Drosophila melanogaster: one gene and its partner. The protein of the gene in region 2 interacts with the protein of the main gene of each other region in a pairwise test. Each region holds a gene or a part of one and is shown on either strand. Other genes may lie near its edges.

Region 1 (8,489 bases), on a different chromosome or scaffold from region 2:
TCCCAGCTTCTATTGTAAATTTCTACCTCCAATATAAGTAACTCCCAACAGCTTTTTACAGAAATTGTAGTGCGGATTTGTCTAAATTTTTACCATTCATTAAAAGTTAGCAGCCGCCAGGTGGCGTGTGAGTGCAAAATGACTCGTTGCACTTCTATTAGCACGAGAACGGGTATTTAATGGTTAAGGTACTGCGTTTATTCTTGTTTTTGTCTTAATTCGAACCACAGCAATATTCAATATTTATAGATTTATATTTATATACTATTCCTAACAAGCTACTTTTAATAAGGTGTAAAGTTAACTTGGGAGGGTAACGCTTTAACGGAAAAAGCTGGTATATAAGCTGCACCCAGCTTGTCCATCTCATTTAACCCATTGTACAAATGTGGGGAAACGGCAGCTTCAGGATGAAAAGGATCTGCAGCTGGAGCTGCAACTGCGGCGCGTTGAAGCCGCATTCTGGCATAAATTTAACGCCGCACAAGTCGGACTTCCGGTCAGAGCGACCGCCATGTTGTTATGCATGCAGTCTGCGCCTGCAAAAATGCAGTTTAACCGAAAGAATGAAACGGGAGCTGGGCCAACCCAACGGCTACAAAAGGACTGAGCACCAGGCACCAAGCACCACTGGACCAGAGCGCTTCCAAATGATGTTATAGCAACGCTGATAGCCAAACGAGGGGTGCGGACCCATATTAATTTCTGCTATCTCGGCGACGCTTTACATGCGTACTGCAAATGCTGTTGTGCGCGCAGTTCTGGCAATAAATTTGATTTGTTTAGCAATTTGTTGCATATCGCATTGCGCATACGCCCTGTACATCCATCTCGCCGTCCGCCGCTGTCGTCATCGCTCTAGCCTTCAGTCGCTTTAACGATGAATAACGCTCTTTTCTGGTTTTCCCCTTGTTTTTGTTCCGCCACCAGCCAGTCGTCTATTTGTTGTTCGGTGTTTTCATGTTCCGGGTACATGCGACATTTTATCCACTCCCATTGGCAATAATTTATATTGAAATGTCAGTGCAACTGCTGCAGTCTCTCAATCTGAATAGAGGGTGTGATTGCATTAGTTGCCAGTACCGCATTTAATATTTGGCCAAAGTTATTACGCGTCGCGAAAAGTAAATTAACTTTTGGCCGCAGTGCTATTTTATTAAAAAGAGAATATTGTAAATGGTCTGAATGGGCCATAGATTTCAGTCTGCCCTTCTCGATTGGTGACACTTGCAACCAACTAGCCCGGGCCCTTTAAGTATCCCTTAGCACGCTATCGATGAAAGTTGGTGGCATCTTTGCGTGCACTTTATAATTAATAACAATTTAGCATGCACTTAATTTTAATTATTACTCAATTAGGTCAGCGCCATTATAATTTAAGCACCCGGCACACTGCAGATAATTAAGAGAGGGCGAAATTAAACAATTTCCAGCCCCGCGAATGAAGTTCTGCCAACGAGACACAACGCTCCGCGACTTGGCTTCGTCCTTTTCCGGAGTGGCGCCTCCGTGTTTCCGTTCTGTCTGTGGGCTAGGTCATTAGGGATGGTTTGTGTGTAAATTTGATTTCACAACATTTTCTCAGTGCGTCGCTCCAACTTTCGGCCTTTACGATGCACATAAATATTACGACCAAGTTCAAGTTGTAAATAGTTGACAAACTCGGCTATCCGTCGAACCCAAACCATAATAGAGTGGTGATGGGGAGCATTTTATAAGTGCCCGAACTAAAGGACATTCGAAAGATAGTTATTCAGCCCTCAAAAGCAAACGCATTAAAGGTATGCATAAAAAATACAGTTTTCCAAATGACACACATTTTTCACACTATTTTCTTTAAGAAGTGTACCAATTTCCAACTTTCAAATCCGTATAGAATTTCTGCTTTCATTACATTTAACACTCAACCAGACGTCAAAGAAATATCTGGGGAACATGCATCCCTAGACGCTGTGATCTATAATTCCATTAATTTTTGTGCAAGGTGTTCCAATTGAAACCGACCAGAGATGGAAGCAATTTGAATGTCATTAGGTGGACCCACGCACGGCGCAGCCACCCAGAAAGCGAGGCTAAGTAAGACACAAACAAAAAGACATTCGACTCCATATCTGATTGAATAATAATGAGTGCTTAAGGATTTAATGCGCTCCCGGCAGCTGCTGAGCCCCAGACATCGACTTCCACTTGGGAACAGACATGTAGGAAACAAAGCTTGAAATAAAATAGCGCTCTAGTTGATTGCACCGACTTATAGATACCCAGTACGTGGTAGGTACCACCCCAAAAGGTGCATAAGTCACCCATTTTGACTTAGTGGTAAAGTAATGTGATATAATTCATAAAAATGATTACAATTTATATAATTTTATAAATATATTAAGCCATCTAAAACTTGTTAAGGATTGAGATAGTAGAAGGGTATAAACAGCCAACCGAGACAGTATACCTAATTCTTTTCCGCCACTTTGTTGACACCGGCATAGTCAATGGGGAATTCCTTTCGGCTGATGCTGATTGCCAAAAAAGATAAAAATAAATGCGGAAAGAAAAAGGCCAGAACAACCCGCGCCTAGTGAAAAAAAAAAACTGAATATCCCTATCGCACGAATTCAAATTAACCCAACATACTCACACGCCCACCAGTGCTGTGTCGTCTTAGATTGGATTTCTATAGCTGTAGTAATAGCTGTTTCAAATAATATAAATTTTAACACATTTTATACCCGTTACTCGTAGAATTAAGTAGAATACACTAGATTCGTTAAAAAGTATGTCAAGGAAGTATGTAGAAGGAAGAGTTTCTGACCGTATAAAGTATATTTATTCTTGATCAGGATCATGTCCGTCTGTCTGGTCGTTCGTATGACCGTCGAAATTTCAGGAATTATATAAGCTATAAGGTTAAGATAAAGCATACAGATTCTAAAGCACAAGTTTGTTCATCCATGCAGCCACGCCTTCCCATTAAATTCTCCAATATCTATCGATATGCCAGAAAATTATGAAATATCACGTTCTCACTGCCAGCAGCTGAGTAACGGGTATTAGATAGTCGGGGAACTCGACTATAACATTCTCTCTTTTTTTTAATTCAAAATATTTCATGCATTTAAATAGTTTTTGTAAATGCCAAACACCCCAGTGTTAAGGCAGCACTCCCCAGTTTCGATCATTAAATATCGTGTGCTGTTTTAATATCTTCCTGGTGAACTACAAGTTGCAAGCAACTAGATAGAATGGTTTTACATAACTAACAATGGCATATTCACCAAACTTCCAAAAAGTGAAATTTATTATTGGGTACAGAGTAGTTTCAAATATCAGTAATTGGTTTTTCAAATTGCTTAACTACAAATTTACAAGAACTGCGGCACAAAAACTTCAAAGTGATAATGACCCTCAATTTGTGAATTGCCAGCATAACCAAAGCATGACTATGATGGGAATATTGTCAACTTGAAATCTATTCAAATTGCCTTGACCATTTTCATCACCTTCCCTGCAATGAAATAAAATGAAAGAAAAAACTACAGATGTAATTAATTTGCTTACCCTTTGATCGGCGGAAGAACATTTTCTTCGAACTGCCCGTTCACATTGACTGGTGGATAATATCTTGCTACCACCCAGTAGTAACCCTTTTTGTCCTTGGCTTGCCCAATACCCATTTTTTTCGCATTCTTCCAAACGAGGGCGGTGAAATGACCCGTTGACATTGCAAACTGTGGCTTTTCAAAGTCGTAGTCCGCGATTTCGTCGTACCAGTCTTGAACACATTGCAGAGGGGTTTGTGACCGCATGCACAAGTTTTCACCATAGTTTTGACCGGCAGAACTTGAATGCTCTAACTTTTCATTATTGGCTAGCACCTGTTCGAGGGTATTAAAAGTGTAAAAAGGTAACATTGTTATTAACCAACGAAATACTTTAGCATATTCTTCGCATCCCTTTGTGAGTTCATCGTCCAAGGTCAGAGGCGGACTTCCATGCTTCTCCCTCAACCGATTGTGTTCATTTAGATGGTCCTCCTGAAGATCAGCTATAACCAACACCAACTAGAATACAGGAGAATAAATCAGATTTCATTTAAAATTACTAAATATTTAATTATACCAAACATAGAGCCAAAACAATCAATATGTTCACCAAAAACATGTTTTTTTGAGAATAACTATAGCACGAAAACTTTGACAAACTTATCTAGGATTCTGATTGCTTTAAAGACCTCGAAATTCTGGTGACGTAATTTAAAAGTTACTTAAATTGTAATTAGTTTGGTGTACCTATAAAGCGTATGGAGGATCCCTTAATTAATACAGTTTTTAGTCCGTGCACTTCTCATGCAGTTTGTATCATTTGTACATGAGTATCGTTCCAAAAATCTACTAAAATATGAAGTTGACTTTAGATTCGGACATAATGCATGGAAAGCTGAGTATCAAAACCAATCTCAAAAGAAACACAAATTAGACGAGGGTTAAATTTTGTTTGTCTACTTAGAAGTCTAACTTTGTGTTAAAGGAGCTGATTATTTTTAAAAATAAACCTATAGTTCTAGTGACTCTTACTGATAGGGGTTTTTCCATATCAAAAAAGTCTAGTTGCCTCAAAACTGATGCTTCCGCGGCAATTTGCTTGTTGTGTTGACAGCTGGCCTGAGGTTTCATGCTTTTTGCATTAGGGTACTGACAGATGACTTCACAGAGACACTGAAAACCAGAACGAGGAAAAGCACAATATTTTTTCGGACATTTTTTAATATATTTTGTATGGCGTATGTTTTAAAACTTATATGCAGTTTTATTTTTGTACACCACTTTTGTTTGGGAAATGCGAATAGAAATTTCTCTGTATCAAACGGGCGAACAGACTTATTGGGGGTGCAGTGTGCAATTATTTTGAGCGAGTAACCGCCACCAGGCCAAAGGATAATGCGATGAGTTCTGATCGCCAGCAACAACGGACCAGCTCCAATGGAGCCACGCCCCAGCCAGATATTAAATTTTCGCTGTTGCTCCATGGAGCTGTGGCAATAAAGGTTTGGCTTTGCCAACCATGTGCGAGGGCACTTTGAGGAGGGACGAGCTCTGGCTCCCACACATGTGGCTGATGCCTTGGGCCATCATCGTTGACAACAATATCAGTGGCTTTCGAAACAGCGGCAGCCGCAGGAGCAAAAAAGCAGCTGGAACACGGACTAGTGGAACTTACTTTGTCCTCTGCGTGGCTTTGGTTTCTGGTTTTTGGCTGTAAAATGTCAATTTGGGCCCGTGACGAAGATTTATTGTGCGCGTGTTTGATAGGCGCGCTTAAATATCCCATTCAGCACACATATTTCCACTATCAATTTCGATGGCACCAGCATGAGCATAATCTGGTTCGTCACTGGTGATGGCACCTCTGCTGTTTTCAAAACTTAGGAATGGAAATGATCAGCGTGAAATCTAGGTTTTGTACGCAACACAAAATCATTCACAAAAATAAGGTTTTTGGTACTATGGGTATTACAGATGATTTCACTGCACTGCAATTTATGCAATTTAAAAATTAAATTTATTCAGGGCTTAACAAATAAGAATACTAGTTTTGTATACATTTAGACCTAAATCCAACAACAATTTCAGTACATTCCGCAGGATATATACGATTGCTGCTTATGAATGCAGAACAGTCGCTAAAAAGCCAACGAGTTGACTCGCTGCCAAGAGCAGCATTTAAATGAAAATGGCAAATTCATGCCACATAATGGTTAAACGACATCAGAAGAGCAACACGCAAAGCGTTTATTTTTTCTGAAATTCCAGGCACGCAAGGACAAGCAGCACACACTCAAAATTGTAAGGGAAAACTTGCAATTTATCCATCCGAGTTGCCTCCTGTCACCGGCACCAAGTTGTCCCACTCCTGCCTGGCCGATAACTCAATAGCGTAGCCCGGGGAGCATTGGCATAACTAAACTAATTTCTTTTAATTCAAACACAGCAACTCCGGCCCAACGGCTCTGTTGGACACTGATGGCCAAATGGCTGGGTGTGAAACTTTTATGTCGCCCCCTGCATGGACCTCCGCCCAGGTGGTCTTACCCACCTCCGGGCTCCTGCTTCCCATTGCCCAGTGCCCATTGCCCAATCCATTTCTCCCTGGCGGCAGCCCTGACCGACATTCGATGAATTGACCAACGCAGCTTGTTATTTTTCGTGTGCAACAGCGCGTTTTATTCGCTCCTGGAGGTTATGTGCCCCTCACCCCGTGGCATCTAGATTCAAATCAGAGATGGCACTTACCTATCCTAAGAAATCTTAAAAAAAAAGGTGAGCCAGCTTATTGTAAGCTACCGATTACCATCATTTACAATCAAATTATGAAACTGTCAATGATTTACCCTAATAAACATAAACAATTTTTATTAAGCCATTTAACTAATGGCTAGATTCGCGGAGTTTCATGGGTGATGTAGACATCCAAAACATGTAACATAAATTGGATTTGTCCTGTCTTTCCTGTATATTTATTGGTATTATTCAAGTTTGGTTTTCCTAGTAATAATCTTACAAACACAGGTTCTCTTTGGCATCACTAAGTGGTGGTGGCTTCCAAAGCCGAGTACAGTTCGCCTTTCTTTTATTTCTGGTCAAAACTTTTGCACTGTTTTCACCAGATTCCGCATTCGGGTAGTTGGACAGCTGACGTCTGTTTTTCACCTGCCAGGACCGCCCCACTCGGGCTCAGAATCGGATCCTCTATTTGTTTGCGTATGGGAATCGCCGGTGTCTGTCCATCTGTCTGTGTCAGTGTTTGTGTGCTCGTGAGTTTTGCGAGCAGGTGTGCGTGAGCTTTCGCTGACAATTGTGATTTTAGCAAAGGGTTTTAATTAGATTTCACTTCATTTTCCGCTGTCATTCAGTGAAAAGGAAAGCTTCTGCCTTCCGCAAAATCTATTCAATAATGTGAGCTTACCCATTGAGTGCACACTGCATCCAAACTCTTCTTACATTTTTGGAGTTCAGAGTGTCTAGAACCTGGCTTAAATAACAACATAAGTATGTATTTTCCTTATAATTGTATTTATATATAAATAAGTTTATGTTTTTGCTATTTTATTTGGGACAGTATAGTATCCCAACTTTTTCCGTCTTCATTTTGGTATTTTAAATTCACATTAAGCAGGCTTTTTGTTAGGATTTGAAATTCCGTGAATGGGAGTTGAGCAAATTTTTCAGTGGATTTTCTTGCCGATAACATTTTTATATATTGCGTATATATCTGCGTTGAAGACTGCATTAGTTGTAGTTAAAACTACAAATTAAGGGACGCTTTGAAAAAGGATATAATAATTGCACGTACCCAACTAAAAGATCGAACAAACCCATAGATAGATCGATATATACGATATTTTATCTAAGCCTTCATTGAGATTTGTGTTAGATGATTTGAAAACACTGGAAGTGCTCGTTGTGTACCGAGTTAGTTTCCGTTTTGAAGTTCACAGTTAATTGGATATTGGTTAATTTGGAGGAATGAATTCAAGATGAATTCATTACCAATACTGCAATCAGTGGACCAAAATTTATCGTGCAAGGCAGCAGGAATAAGTAAAATGGAAAACACTAAACCAAATGATAAGAAACTGGCACAATCAAAGTTCGCATTCAAACATAACGGGCCAAAAAAAGTGTTTCACTGCACGATGCAGAGTGTTTTGCAATCCGAAGATTGCTGGATCGCTGAGGAAGTTCTAGAAGAATCAAACGAGAAAAGCAATCTGGAACTCGAAGATATTTACGATGAGGTGTTTCGCTTAAAGCGGCGCGTAAATCGACTCAATTACCAACTAGGTACCAATATACCGGAATGCCCAAAAATAGATCCCTGCCTGGATGATCATATATTTTTGACAAATGTAAAGGAAGTTCATCCCGAAATTCTTCAGCTGAAGTTTGCAAGCCATAAACTACAGCACCAACTGACTCAGATGCAATCCGTCCGAAGATCATCCAATCTGGCCAAAAAACTGGTACGGGATGAATACTGCAGAAGCAAGAAATTAGGGGATCAGTTGCAGATTGAAATTCAAAAACTAGACTCCTTTAAGCTCAAATTCGAAAAACATCAAGGACTATGTCTTCAACGGTTTAGGTTCTTGGACCAAGATAAGTATACTGGCAGGGAGTTCTATGAATTTATAGAAAAAAGTAATGAGATGATAACAACTCAACTTAAAAAGCAGATGTTAAAGAGTGAATACAAACCTTTTCGGAAGGAAGCCGCTAGGGTGACAATCTCTTTAAAAACAGCCGCGGAAAATTTGCAAGATTATCTTTCAAGCGTGATAAATAACAAAAAATGTGAAATCTTCCAGAACGTGAAAAATTCCTGTGTATCCATTCGTTCAGACCTTTAATACTTTTATATTTTTTCGAACTCCGATTCGGCTTACTTCAAGGCGGCACCACGAGCCGCCCAAGCTCTTGTATCACCGGCACACA
Region 2 (10,790 bases):
AGCGACGCAGCGAAAAGTCATTGTGATACTGCTTTGGATCCGCCTCCACAATCAATTTCATGCGCTCCTTGAGATCCTTGAAGTCCTGCTCGTTAATTGGCGCCAGCTCCTCGGACGACATATTGTAGAGCACGAATCGCTTCCTGACCGGAATGCAGACTGGGATTCCGTGCTGGAGAGTCGCGGACTGGAATCGGAATGTGCTGACACTATGTGAAATGCAAGCAGCGCTGTTTATTTTTACTCGGAAATGTTTTTTCACAAACGGAACGGATTTGTTTTTTTCTTTTTTTTCGACCAGTGTGACCGGCTGAAACTCTCTAAAAGCTGTCATTTGCGTTCCACAACAATACTAAATGCAAGCACGAAATACCGAAAAATTACCGTTATTGGTTGGAACCGTTACATTTTAATAAAAGCTTTAATTGATAATAAATTTTGAAAAATATTTTAAACTATATAGTAAAGAGAAGAAAACAAATTGAAACAGAGCTGAAATTAGTTAACATTTTTATTTTTTATTTCAAGCTCAAAGATGTTATATTCTTAACTTCCTACTTTAAAATATGGAATTGTAAATGATTTAGCTCTGTTACTTACACTGTTACTTTCTAAGATTTTTGAATTCATGAAGATTTATTTGTATTCATCTTTAAACATTTTGAATATATATCTCATTTCGTTACACAGTTTAAAAAAAAAAAGAACAAAATAAATAAGACTTTCATCGCTATTTTGAACAGCCGAGATAAAAATAAATTCACGTGCACTTCATATGGCACACGTTTTATAAACAAACATGTTAGATATTTCGGAAATAGCTGTTATTGTGTTTAAAATGTTAACAATACATGATTGGTTGGCAGAAGCAGGCCACAAAAACACGAAATATGTAGAATGCACAACTCTCTCATATCGGCCACCTGGGACCCTAAGTATTAGCTACAAATGCAGAGATTCCAAAATTGAGATTTCTATTGCTTGATGGTCTTCAGTAAGCTCCTCCTACTTGGGCACCATGACGCGGGCTATGCCCGGCAGGACCTCAGCTTGGAGGGGCCCGAACTCGACGCGCTCGCCGTCGACCGTGATGATGCCGTGATTGTCGTAGGGCTCCAGGCGGAATGCTCGCACTGGCAGCACCTTCACATGGTCGTCGTGCGACTCCGGCAGGTGAGTGCCGGAGCTCATGTTGTAGAGGAAGCTCAGCAGGTGCGGGCGGCTGATGCCGGCGCGTATGAGGATCAGGTAGATGGTGCCGTCGTTCAGCTGGGCCTTGGGCGCAAAATGACAGTCGATGCCCAGATGGGTCTGGTAAACGGCGTGCATCATGACGAACTCGCCCTCCTCCACCAGCCAACCCTGATCCTCGGACAGCGGTTCGTTCAGATCCGGCAGCTCGCTTGCCGGACCGTAGTTCTGCTGCCGGTTTTCCAGCGAGGCGGCCGCCAGGCCGGCGAACTCGCTCTCATCCGCCAGACTGTGGTAGATGCTCTCCGATATGGAATAGTAAAAGCTGCGCCGCGATCCCCCCGACAACCAGCTGTCGCACCTCGAGCGGAACGACTGATTGATGGACGTCTCCAGGGAGATCACGTCCGCAAACTCCTGTGGCAGGTACTCGGCACTGGAATGATAGATGGGCGCCGGCCCATTTAGCATGTCGATGTGCGTGTTGCAGCTACGGCTGCTCTGCATTCTCCGCTGGGCAGCATAACCGGTAGCGCTATGGGTTGAGGACACCTCATGGTCCGTCAGAAGATAGCTGATTCGGCCGTTGTAGGTGCGCAGATTCACCAGACGGTAGAGGGTCCACACGGTGAAGCGCTGGTAGCCCAACATGCGAATGCGCTCGCTCTCGATGTCCACGTCCGAGATCAGACCCCAGCCGATGGACAGGAAGGAGTAGAGGGAGCGACTCTGCAGCTGCACCCGGACCACGTCCATGGGTGAACTGCGTCCACTGATTACGGTCAGAGCAGCTCCTAGCACTGGCTTGCTGAAGTATGGTTCGCTGGGGAGAAAGGTTTCAAGTGAATAGGTTTCAACACAAGACTGATAATCGGATTACGACCAATAGATCGGATATGAGACACCTGAATGTGGTTTTAAAGTCTATAAACATTCTTTTCTATTACCCTTTTTATACTCTTTTATCGGGAAGTTGAGCTATAGATGAACATAAAGAAAGAACATAAAGATTTCAAAGTTCGATGATATGCCACTAAATGTTGAACGAAATTGGGGGGCAATTACTTAACGATGTGGAAAGTTTGTTCTAGTCTGACGTCAATTTAACTTTAAGGGGATATCCCCACTTGCAAAACAACAAAACCATTTGACACGATAAGAAAACTACTTTTGCTTATGAATGTAATCTAATGATAAACTGCATGGCTAGACGCTGGAGGGATTGTTTTACACGAAATATGAAGATCCACATAAGTCAAAAGGGGGTTTTTCCTAATGAAACATGAAACAAAGATAACATACTTGTAACAATGGGCAATGGAGCGGGCCAATCCATTTCCGGAGCCGCAAGGAATGATTCCCAGTGCCAGATGAGGCAGGACGTGGGCCCAGTCCTGGCGCTGCAGCAGTCCATTGACTATCTCGTGGAAGAGACCGTCTCCGCCGACAGCCACCACGCAGCACCAGGCGTCCAGGCACCTGGTGCTCAAGAACTCGATGGCAAAGTTGGAATGCTTGGTTACATACAGGTCGTAGGGCACCTCGGCCTCGTTGAGCACCGGCGTCACGTGCATGTTGAAGACCTCACGAGCGTCACCGGAACCGGATTTGGGATTCAACAGCACAAGCACTCGACGGCGTCGCTCATCCACCGTCGGCGCCACAAAGATCTCCTCCAGCGTGCGATGCAACTGCCAGCGAAGGGATCTGTACCAACGATCCGCCTCCCTCATGTTGTCCTCGAAGGTGTCGAACGACCGGAAGCGCAGAGTGAGCACCGTTCGCTCCCGGTGCAACTCCGACCGCAGGCTCCTCTTCTTCAGAACATAGGCAAAAACGTAGAGAAACGCGCTGACATCGCCGCCATCCGAAGGAATATTATCCCGACTATTGGTGCTGCATTTGCTTGGTGTGGTGGCAGGGCGATGGTGATCGCCGGACGCCGAGATGGCTGGCGAATTGGGATTACCGGAGCTGCACGCACAGGCGCCCGACATCGCCAGGCGCCGGCTCTTCTTGGGCCGCATGCAGCGGGCACCCACAATGTCCGATATGCGGACATGTTGCTCCTTAACAATGCTACCGCCCGGCGACTCCCGCTGCAGGGTGAATCCTGTGGCGTCAAGGCGCACCCGAAATACGTGGCTGCCCTTCTTGCGCTGGCTCGTGTAGAAGGTATCGCTCACGTCGTGGCCCTCATCCGCATCCTGCGTTCCCGGGGGCGTGGCCCTGGAACTGGCCGAGCTCGGGCTGGTGGTCTTATCAAGAGATTCGCTCATTTCGACTGGAGATTCGGCTGCCAAGCAGCATGTTTCAGGTCTTTTGTGTCCAGGCTTTTATGGATCGCTTATCATCCAATCATAGCCGCAGTGTTACCGTCGGTGGCAGGCGCGAATATACCAACTGGCACAAATAAACTCAAAATTCTTAGAACTTAAAGAGGCTAGCTTAAGGAAACTATTGCAATACAATGCAATAATACAAATGAATCCACAAAAACGTCAGCTCATAACAAATTTAACTTGTCACTGCATTGAGTGCTGAAAGCTTTTTGTTGATATTTTTCTGTGTTCGAATAAATACCAAAATATATGACAGAATATTTCGTACGGTGCATTTGCGTTGCATTTTTCGGCGTTCGCAACGCGGTCACCCTGCATTTAGTGTTTTGTGAACTGTTAAAGAATCCGATACGAATTTAATTGCTGGGAATAACAATGATGCAGATGAGCGAGTACAAGGTGCTCCCGCAGAATGCACCGCAGGACGAGAATGGCGCAGTGGTCCTGCAGCCGCAGGCGGCGAATGTTGGCAACAATGCCAACGGACCTGGTGCGTAGCGATGGACATATATGGATTTGTCCACTGTTGAATTCCATCACTCGGATGGACCTAGTCGGTTGCGCGCGTCTGTGTGGGCTAGTGGGCGTGTGCGAAAGGCGGAAATGCCGTCGTCTCTTTCTTGGCATTTAGTACAGCAGCGGGCATGGCAATAGCACCCATAGTTATCTATGTAAAAAAGATATTTTATAATGTACCAAAAAGTGAAGTGATTCCAAGTCAATACGTAAATACATATTGTTTAAAATATTAGTTTATGTTAAGAACTGCTATCACTGGCCCTAATCGCCTGACCGCCATTGTAGCTATGCTAATTTCCTTTACCCATGCATAGATATCGGAAAAGCACTTTATGCATATAGATAAATATAAATACATAGGGAGCTAATCCGGAACAACGCCCCATTGCAGAAAACTGGATGTCGATACCCGTGGGCATGCCCAACTGCCCGCAGGGACTGGAATACCTGACCGCTCTGGACCAGTTGCTCGTGTCGCAGAAGATCGAGAAACTGGAGCTGCTCACCGGCTTCGAGACGAAGAACCGCTTCAAGGTGAAGAACTCACTGGGCCAGAATGTGTACTTCGCGTACGAGGAGAGCGACTGCTGCACCCGCAACATGCTCGGCCGGTCGCGCCCCTTCGAGATGAAGATACTGGACAATTTTCAGAACGAGGTGCTCCACCTGTACCGGCCCTTCAAGTGCGACATCCTCTGCTGCTTTCCCAGCTGCATGAACGCCGTGGAGGTGTCGGCGCCACCCGGCCAGGTGATCGGTAGCGTTGAGCAGGTCTGCACCTTCATGCGGCCCAAGTTCAACATCAAGAACACATGCGGCGATACCGTCCTGCAGATCGAGGGACCCGTCTGTCCCTGCAAGTGCTTCAGCGATACCAACTTCAAGGTCAGTACGCAGCCAACAAGTGGTTATTCTTGGCTCTCGATCTCGATTCCCAATGCCCAAACAAGTGTATACACACACAGCAGCGGTCAGCGGATTAGCTTTAAATTCTTCGGAGGAGTACATATGTATGGTCTTCATCAGTCAAAGACGAAGCTTTATAAAATTCCAAAATGAACAGTATCAGGCGTCCACTTAATTGCTTTTTTAATTATTAAACATTTATAAGTGCCTATATACATATATTCTAAATAATTATGAACAGACAGAAGCGTTCAAATTAATAGCACCCACACTAGTTTTAAATTTTCAATTGTATACGTTATTTAACAGATGCCTCTAGATATAGGAAAATCAATCAATCAATTTATACTTTTTATGGCTAAAATGCACCAAGTGTTTGTGCCGATCTATGAGCCCTTTTACTGACCGCTGCTGTGATCGTACAGAAGCAAAGAGACTGCAGTCCGAGGCAGTGACGTCATGGTTAGCCATGCCTGACTGTCCAGAGCGAGTCAATTAATTGCGATGCCGCGAACTGCGAACCGATTAATGCGAAACGCAAACATCTCTCGCCCCTTTAACCGCGCACAGGTATTGAGCGCCAACAACGAGGAGATCGGCAAAATCAGCAAACAATGGTCCGGACTGGGAAGGGAGCTGTTCACCGATGCGGACTACTTCAGCGTCACCTTCCCCCTGAATCTGGATGTCCGCATGAAGGCGCTCATATTCGCAGCGCTCTTTTTGATTGTGAGTATATCAGTATATCATATATATCACTGAGTGAAATAAAGCATATGCCAGTGCTATATACTCGTTTCCCTTCATTGATTTGTGTTTGTCTTAATTCCAGGACGCGGTTTACTACGAGCAGTAGGCTGTATGATGAATCGCATTCTAAAGGAACAAACGCCCAAACATTATAATCGCCGACTGCTTTTTGGTTCGACGTGTTGCATGGTCATAGCTCTAAGAACTTTTTAACCCCTTATTTGATTAACGTTTCCGGGAATCTGAACAGTGCAACGCTTTGATCGATACGGAATCTCCGCAGCAAAGGAATCTCCCGCACAACTTGGATCTGAACCGCAGTTGCACCTTCGTTATTTTATGAACCTCGGTTTTGGCATTTAAAGCTCACCACAATGAAGCACTTACTGACAAACGCACAAAACGGAAAACAGAAAGCAGACTACACACGAAGAATCCGACGAGAACGAGTGCCTTATGACGTCCTAGTTATTGTCGTCGCCCCCGTCCCGTTTCCCCAGATTTATATACCTCGACAGACCTAGCTTTGTTGTACGCATAGGTCGGAGCACAGGATAACTTAATTGCAACCATGGCGTACCTAACTAATTTACTATTACCTTTTACCTACTACATATTACATATTACATATATTTTTGTATGAAACTAATTGCAATCGAATTGTTACCCATTAGAGTGGCCTAGTGAGCCAGCTTTCAAGGCATTTTGAGATCGAAAACATCTCCTCCTTTTTGGTACCGCTCCTGTGGCGCCGCGCAATTTTCATCACCTTCACATGTACTTCATGAATTTATTTATATCTCAGTTATGCTGTAAAATAAACAAACTATGTTTTGTACAAAGCAAATGCGAAATATTCACAATCGGTGGCATTGCGGATTTGGATTTTCTGTACAGAGGACTCTAGCGATTGTTCGTTTGCATCGTGATTCAGTCGTGAACATTAGGAATGTAACTGGGCTAGGCTACTAAGGTAATGTGCATCTCTATCTGTCCCTAGTTGTTCTTGGCAAAGTACTTCGTCTTCTCCTCAGGATTGGGAACGATCTGTAAAGGTAATGGTATCAAAAAGAATTTACCTAAGGCAATGCTTCAAAAAACCTACCGTATCGGCACCTGGCCGCCAACCTGCTGGGCAAACCTCTCCATGGGTGTCCGTATACTGGAAGGCCTGAACCAGACGAATAGTCTCGTCCACAGAGCGTCCCACGGGCAAATCATTCATGGTGATCTGTCGCAGCACTCCGGTCTGATCGATAATGAAGAGACCGCGCAGCGCATGACCGCTGGACTCCAAGTAGACTCCGTAGTCCTTGCTGATCTTATGCGTTAGATCGGAGAGCAGTGGGATCTTCACGTCGCCCAGGCCGCCCTCCTTGCGCGGCGTGTTTATCCAGGCCAAGTGGGTGAAGTGCGAGTCCACGCTGACGCCAATCACCTCGGTCTTGATCTTCTTGAACTCGGCGATGCGGTCGGAGAAGGCAATGATCTCCGTTGGGCATACAAAGGTGCTAAAATGGCAATGAGAAATGCGATCATACTAAATGTAAATGTAAACTTACAAGTCCAGTGGGTAGAAGAGTAGCACCACATATTTCCCTAGATACTGGGACAATGATAGCTTCACAATCTCCTTATTAACCACGGCGGTGCCCTCGAACTGCGGAGCTGGCTTGGAAACTGGGGAAATAAGGGTAGCAGCAACTTAATAGTGATCCCTGGTTTTTTGCATCCAATGGAACTCACTGACTGCCTTGGTGTACTGCAGCTGATGGTCGCCCTTCGGCTGGTCGGGATAAACGGAGCCGCCGGCGAAGGAATAGCACGATTCATTATCTTCCGGCTTGGCAGCTCCAACGAGTGCCGCGGACAGCAGTAGGACAGATAAGTACTTGGACATGATTGGGCTGAAACGAGATCCACGTACGTATATGGCTATTGGATTCGGTTTATACGCTATTTATTACACGCGGCCTTTACAATTATTGCCGCTCTTTATATTTATAATAAATCTGTGTACAGTGGTCGCCCAACTATCTTTAATTTTGTAAATTATGTAAAGATATATAATTTTGAATGTTAATTAGGAACAAAACTAAACTTCAAAGAAAAGATACTCCTTCTATGTACTAAATCCTTGTTCCGTCCGTGTCAGCCAGTCTCTACTGTACGCACATACCCAAAATTCGAACACGCCCACAACTTGTAGCCACGCAGTCAAAAAAGTAACTATTTCAACGGGCAGAACTTCAATTGATTTTGGTGGAACGCGCTTATTGTTGCTGCGCTTCCGAAAAGATAAGCTTATCAATTTCATTCACTTCACTGCTATTATAATTTATAGTTGTCAGCGTGTAACCGATTTAAACAAATATAGTTTACAAAACTACTAAAATTCCAATGCCAATGCGATTGCCTAGCTCCGATTTGAATATTTATTTTTAGTTGCAGGGTAGTTAACTTGCTTGCATTAAGCAACAATGCAAACGCACAGCTGTTACCTTTTAAGCGCTATAATTAACTCTTTTTGTTTTAATAACAAATTGTTCTGCCGGCATTGGTGTGACCGTAATACGCAAAAATACCATACTGTCGTTCCGACACCAATGCATAGTTCAGCATTGCCAACATAAATTTCATTATGAAATATTTGAATTTTCATTTCATATTAACGCGTAACTGCAATTTTGAAAGAATATTATTTTAGAAAAAATATCTGTGCTGCATTGGCGAATCAAAAGCGATGTATGGCCATGCTATGATCTATCCAATTTTTTTTAAGTAAAAAACACTTTCTCAGTTAACTTTTACTTACGCTATAAACTTTATTAAAATATATACAGTTTGTCAAGAAACTGTTTACACACTGTGAAATAAGTTGAATTTTTGACTTTAAAGCTAAAAATAAAGGGTTTTTTGCTTAATTAAACGCAATTTTTTTATAAAATATAATTAAACAATATTTATTTTACTTATAAATCAAAAAACAAATTAAAAATATTAAATATACAAGAAAATAAACAACAAATTCCAAGTTTACACACTTTTGAGACTGTCAAGAAACTCTTTACACATTTTGTTTTCCTACTTTGTTTTGTTCTTTTTCTTAGAACGAACTCGATTTTTCCGTTATTTTTGGCTTTGCATTGCTTTTTACAACGCTTCTATTGAAATTTTGTTGACTTTGCTTGTGAAATTTTGCTGATCAAACGTGCTTAAAGCGAATTATTAAATTTAATAAAATGCCTGGAAAGAGATTAACTTTTGAAGTTACCCAATTAATAAACTATAACCACCAGTTGGGAAAATCTTTTCCAGAATTAGTATAAATGTTTCCTGTATCCCGTAAGACCGTCTACAATGTTTTAAAAGGCTCGGAAAAAGAGGGCAGGCTTGAACCTAAGAGCGGTGGTGGGCGGAAAATTAAAATTAAAAAGCGTGTAGACCGCTTTATTATGCGAATAGTGATTGCGAACCCCCGAATCTCGGTCAGATCACTTGCTCTGGATATCAGGCAAGAATGCCACCTAACTGTGTCACACGAAACTGTGCGCCAAGTCATCCTACGCCATAGGTACTCTTCAAGATTTGCAAGGAAAAACCCTTTGCTATCAGATGCCAATATGGAAAAGCGTCATTAATTCGCTGTGAGCATGATGGATCATGCGGAAGAGTACTGGGATGACGTCATATTTTGTGACGAAACAAAAATGATGCTCTTTTATAACGACGGGCCAAGCAGAGTATGGCGCAAACCGTTGAGTGCGCTAGAAAAACAAAATATCATTCCAACGATAAAATTTGGAAAAATGTCACTGATGGTTTGGGGCTGTATCACCAGCCGTGGAGTGGGAAAACTAGCCTTAATTGAGAGCACAATAACTGCCGTGCAATATCTAGAAATGTTAAAAAACAAATTTGAAGGCCAGTGCAGAAAAATTCGGTCTAGTTAGCAACAACAAGCCAAATCTTAAGTTTTACCAGGACATGATCAGAAACATAAAGAGTGCAATGTACGCACCTGGCGCCTTAATAACTGTGGTAAAGTGATCGATACGCCCCCTCAGAGTCCTGATCTGAACCCCATTGAAAATTTGTGGACCTACTTAAAGAAGAAGGTGGCAAAAAGGGACCTAAAACACAACAACAGCTTATGACTGTAATAGTCGAAGAGTGTGAAAAGATCCCGTTTGAATATGACCTGCAAAAACTTGTCCAATCCATGAAAAAAAGGCTTCAACTTGTAGCTAAAGCCAATGGGGAACATACTACATACCAAAACTTTTAAAATTTTAATAAAATAATTAAAAAATTTAGGATTAAACTTCGATTTAGTGTTTTGTGTAAAGAGTTTCTTGACAGTCTCAAAAGTGTGTAAACTTGGAATTTGTTGTTTATTTTCTTGTATATTTAATATTTTTAATTTGTTTTTTGATTTATAAGTAAAATAAATATTGTTTAATTATATTTTATAAAAAAATTGCGTTTAATTAAGCAAAAAACCCTTTATTTTTAGCTTTAAAGTCAAAAATTCAACTTATTTCACAGTGTGTAAACAGTTTCTTGACAAACTGTATATCAATATATAAATTGCTCGCGCTTAAAAATTAGGTTTACGGCTGGAGTTAAAACAACACGTACACGCGTCTCTCTGCACGTTTAATTGCTACGACCAATAAATATAGATATTTCTCTCTTACGGCCTAGATGATATAATATGCATTGCATCCTCTAAAAACTACAACAAATTGAGCAAAAGTCTGTGTTAATTTCACAAAAAGCGAACATTAAAAGTACATTGCTTAGCATGCGAATTACTCATTTACTGTGTTAGCTTTGATTGAGAATTGTTTTTGTGGGCGTTAATGGTGGTGTTTCTTGTTGTCGATCCACATGGTGTTGTGTTTGCTGCCGCATTTATTGCAGATGAGAAAAGGGTGAGAAAAATGCACCTGGCCTTCTTCCGGGCCGCGGTCTAGCTCTCCCAGACTTCGTCCCGCTGTTTGGCAGCTAGCAGTTTGCGTTCTGAATAAAAAGATAAGGCAGATTAATAAAAGACCAAGGGAAGGCAGCGCCAATGAT

Evidence for each region.
Region 1: the proteins of Sk2 (region 2) and CG31482 interact in a two-hybrid assay, tested with the Drosophila melanogaster proteins (one large-scale study listed by BioGRID).

The regions. Positions count from the first base shown.
Region 1 is NT_033777.3:6,596,979-6,605,467, reverse strand, and holds CG31482 (uncharacterized protein), read right to left. Parts: upstream 4,227-8,489; 5' UTR 4,159-4,226; coding exon 4,117-4,158; intron 4,059-4,116; coding exon 3,930-4,058; intron 3,873-3,929; coding exon 3,556-3,872; intron 3,503-3,555; coding exon 3,403-3,502; 3' UTR 3,267-3,402; downstream 1-3,266. Other genes in the region: CG1138 (uncharacterized protein), read left to right, coding at 7,532-8,404.
Region 2 is NT_037436.4:3,039,870-3,050,659, reverse strand, and holds Sk2 (sphingosine kinase 2), read right to left. Parts: upstream 3,574-10,790; 5' UTR 3,471-3,573; coding exon 2,494-3,470; intron 2,015-2,493; coding exon 1,006-2,014; 3' UTR 501-1,005; downstream 1-500. Other genes in the region: CG32485 (uncharacterized protein), read right to left, coding at 1-121; scramb2 (scramblase 2), read left to right, coding at 3,909-4,023, 4,444-4,937, 5,529-5,687, 5,791-5,814; Prx4 (peroxiredoxin 4), read right to left, coding at 6,705-6,755, 6,814-7,219, 7,271-7,388, 7,455-7,608; CG2162 (uncharacterized protein), read right to left, coding at 10,684-10,733.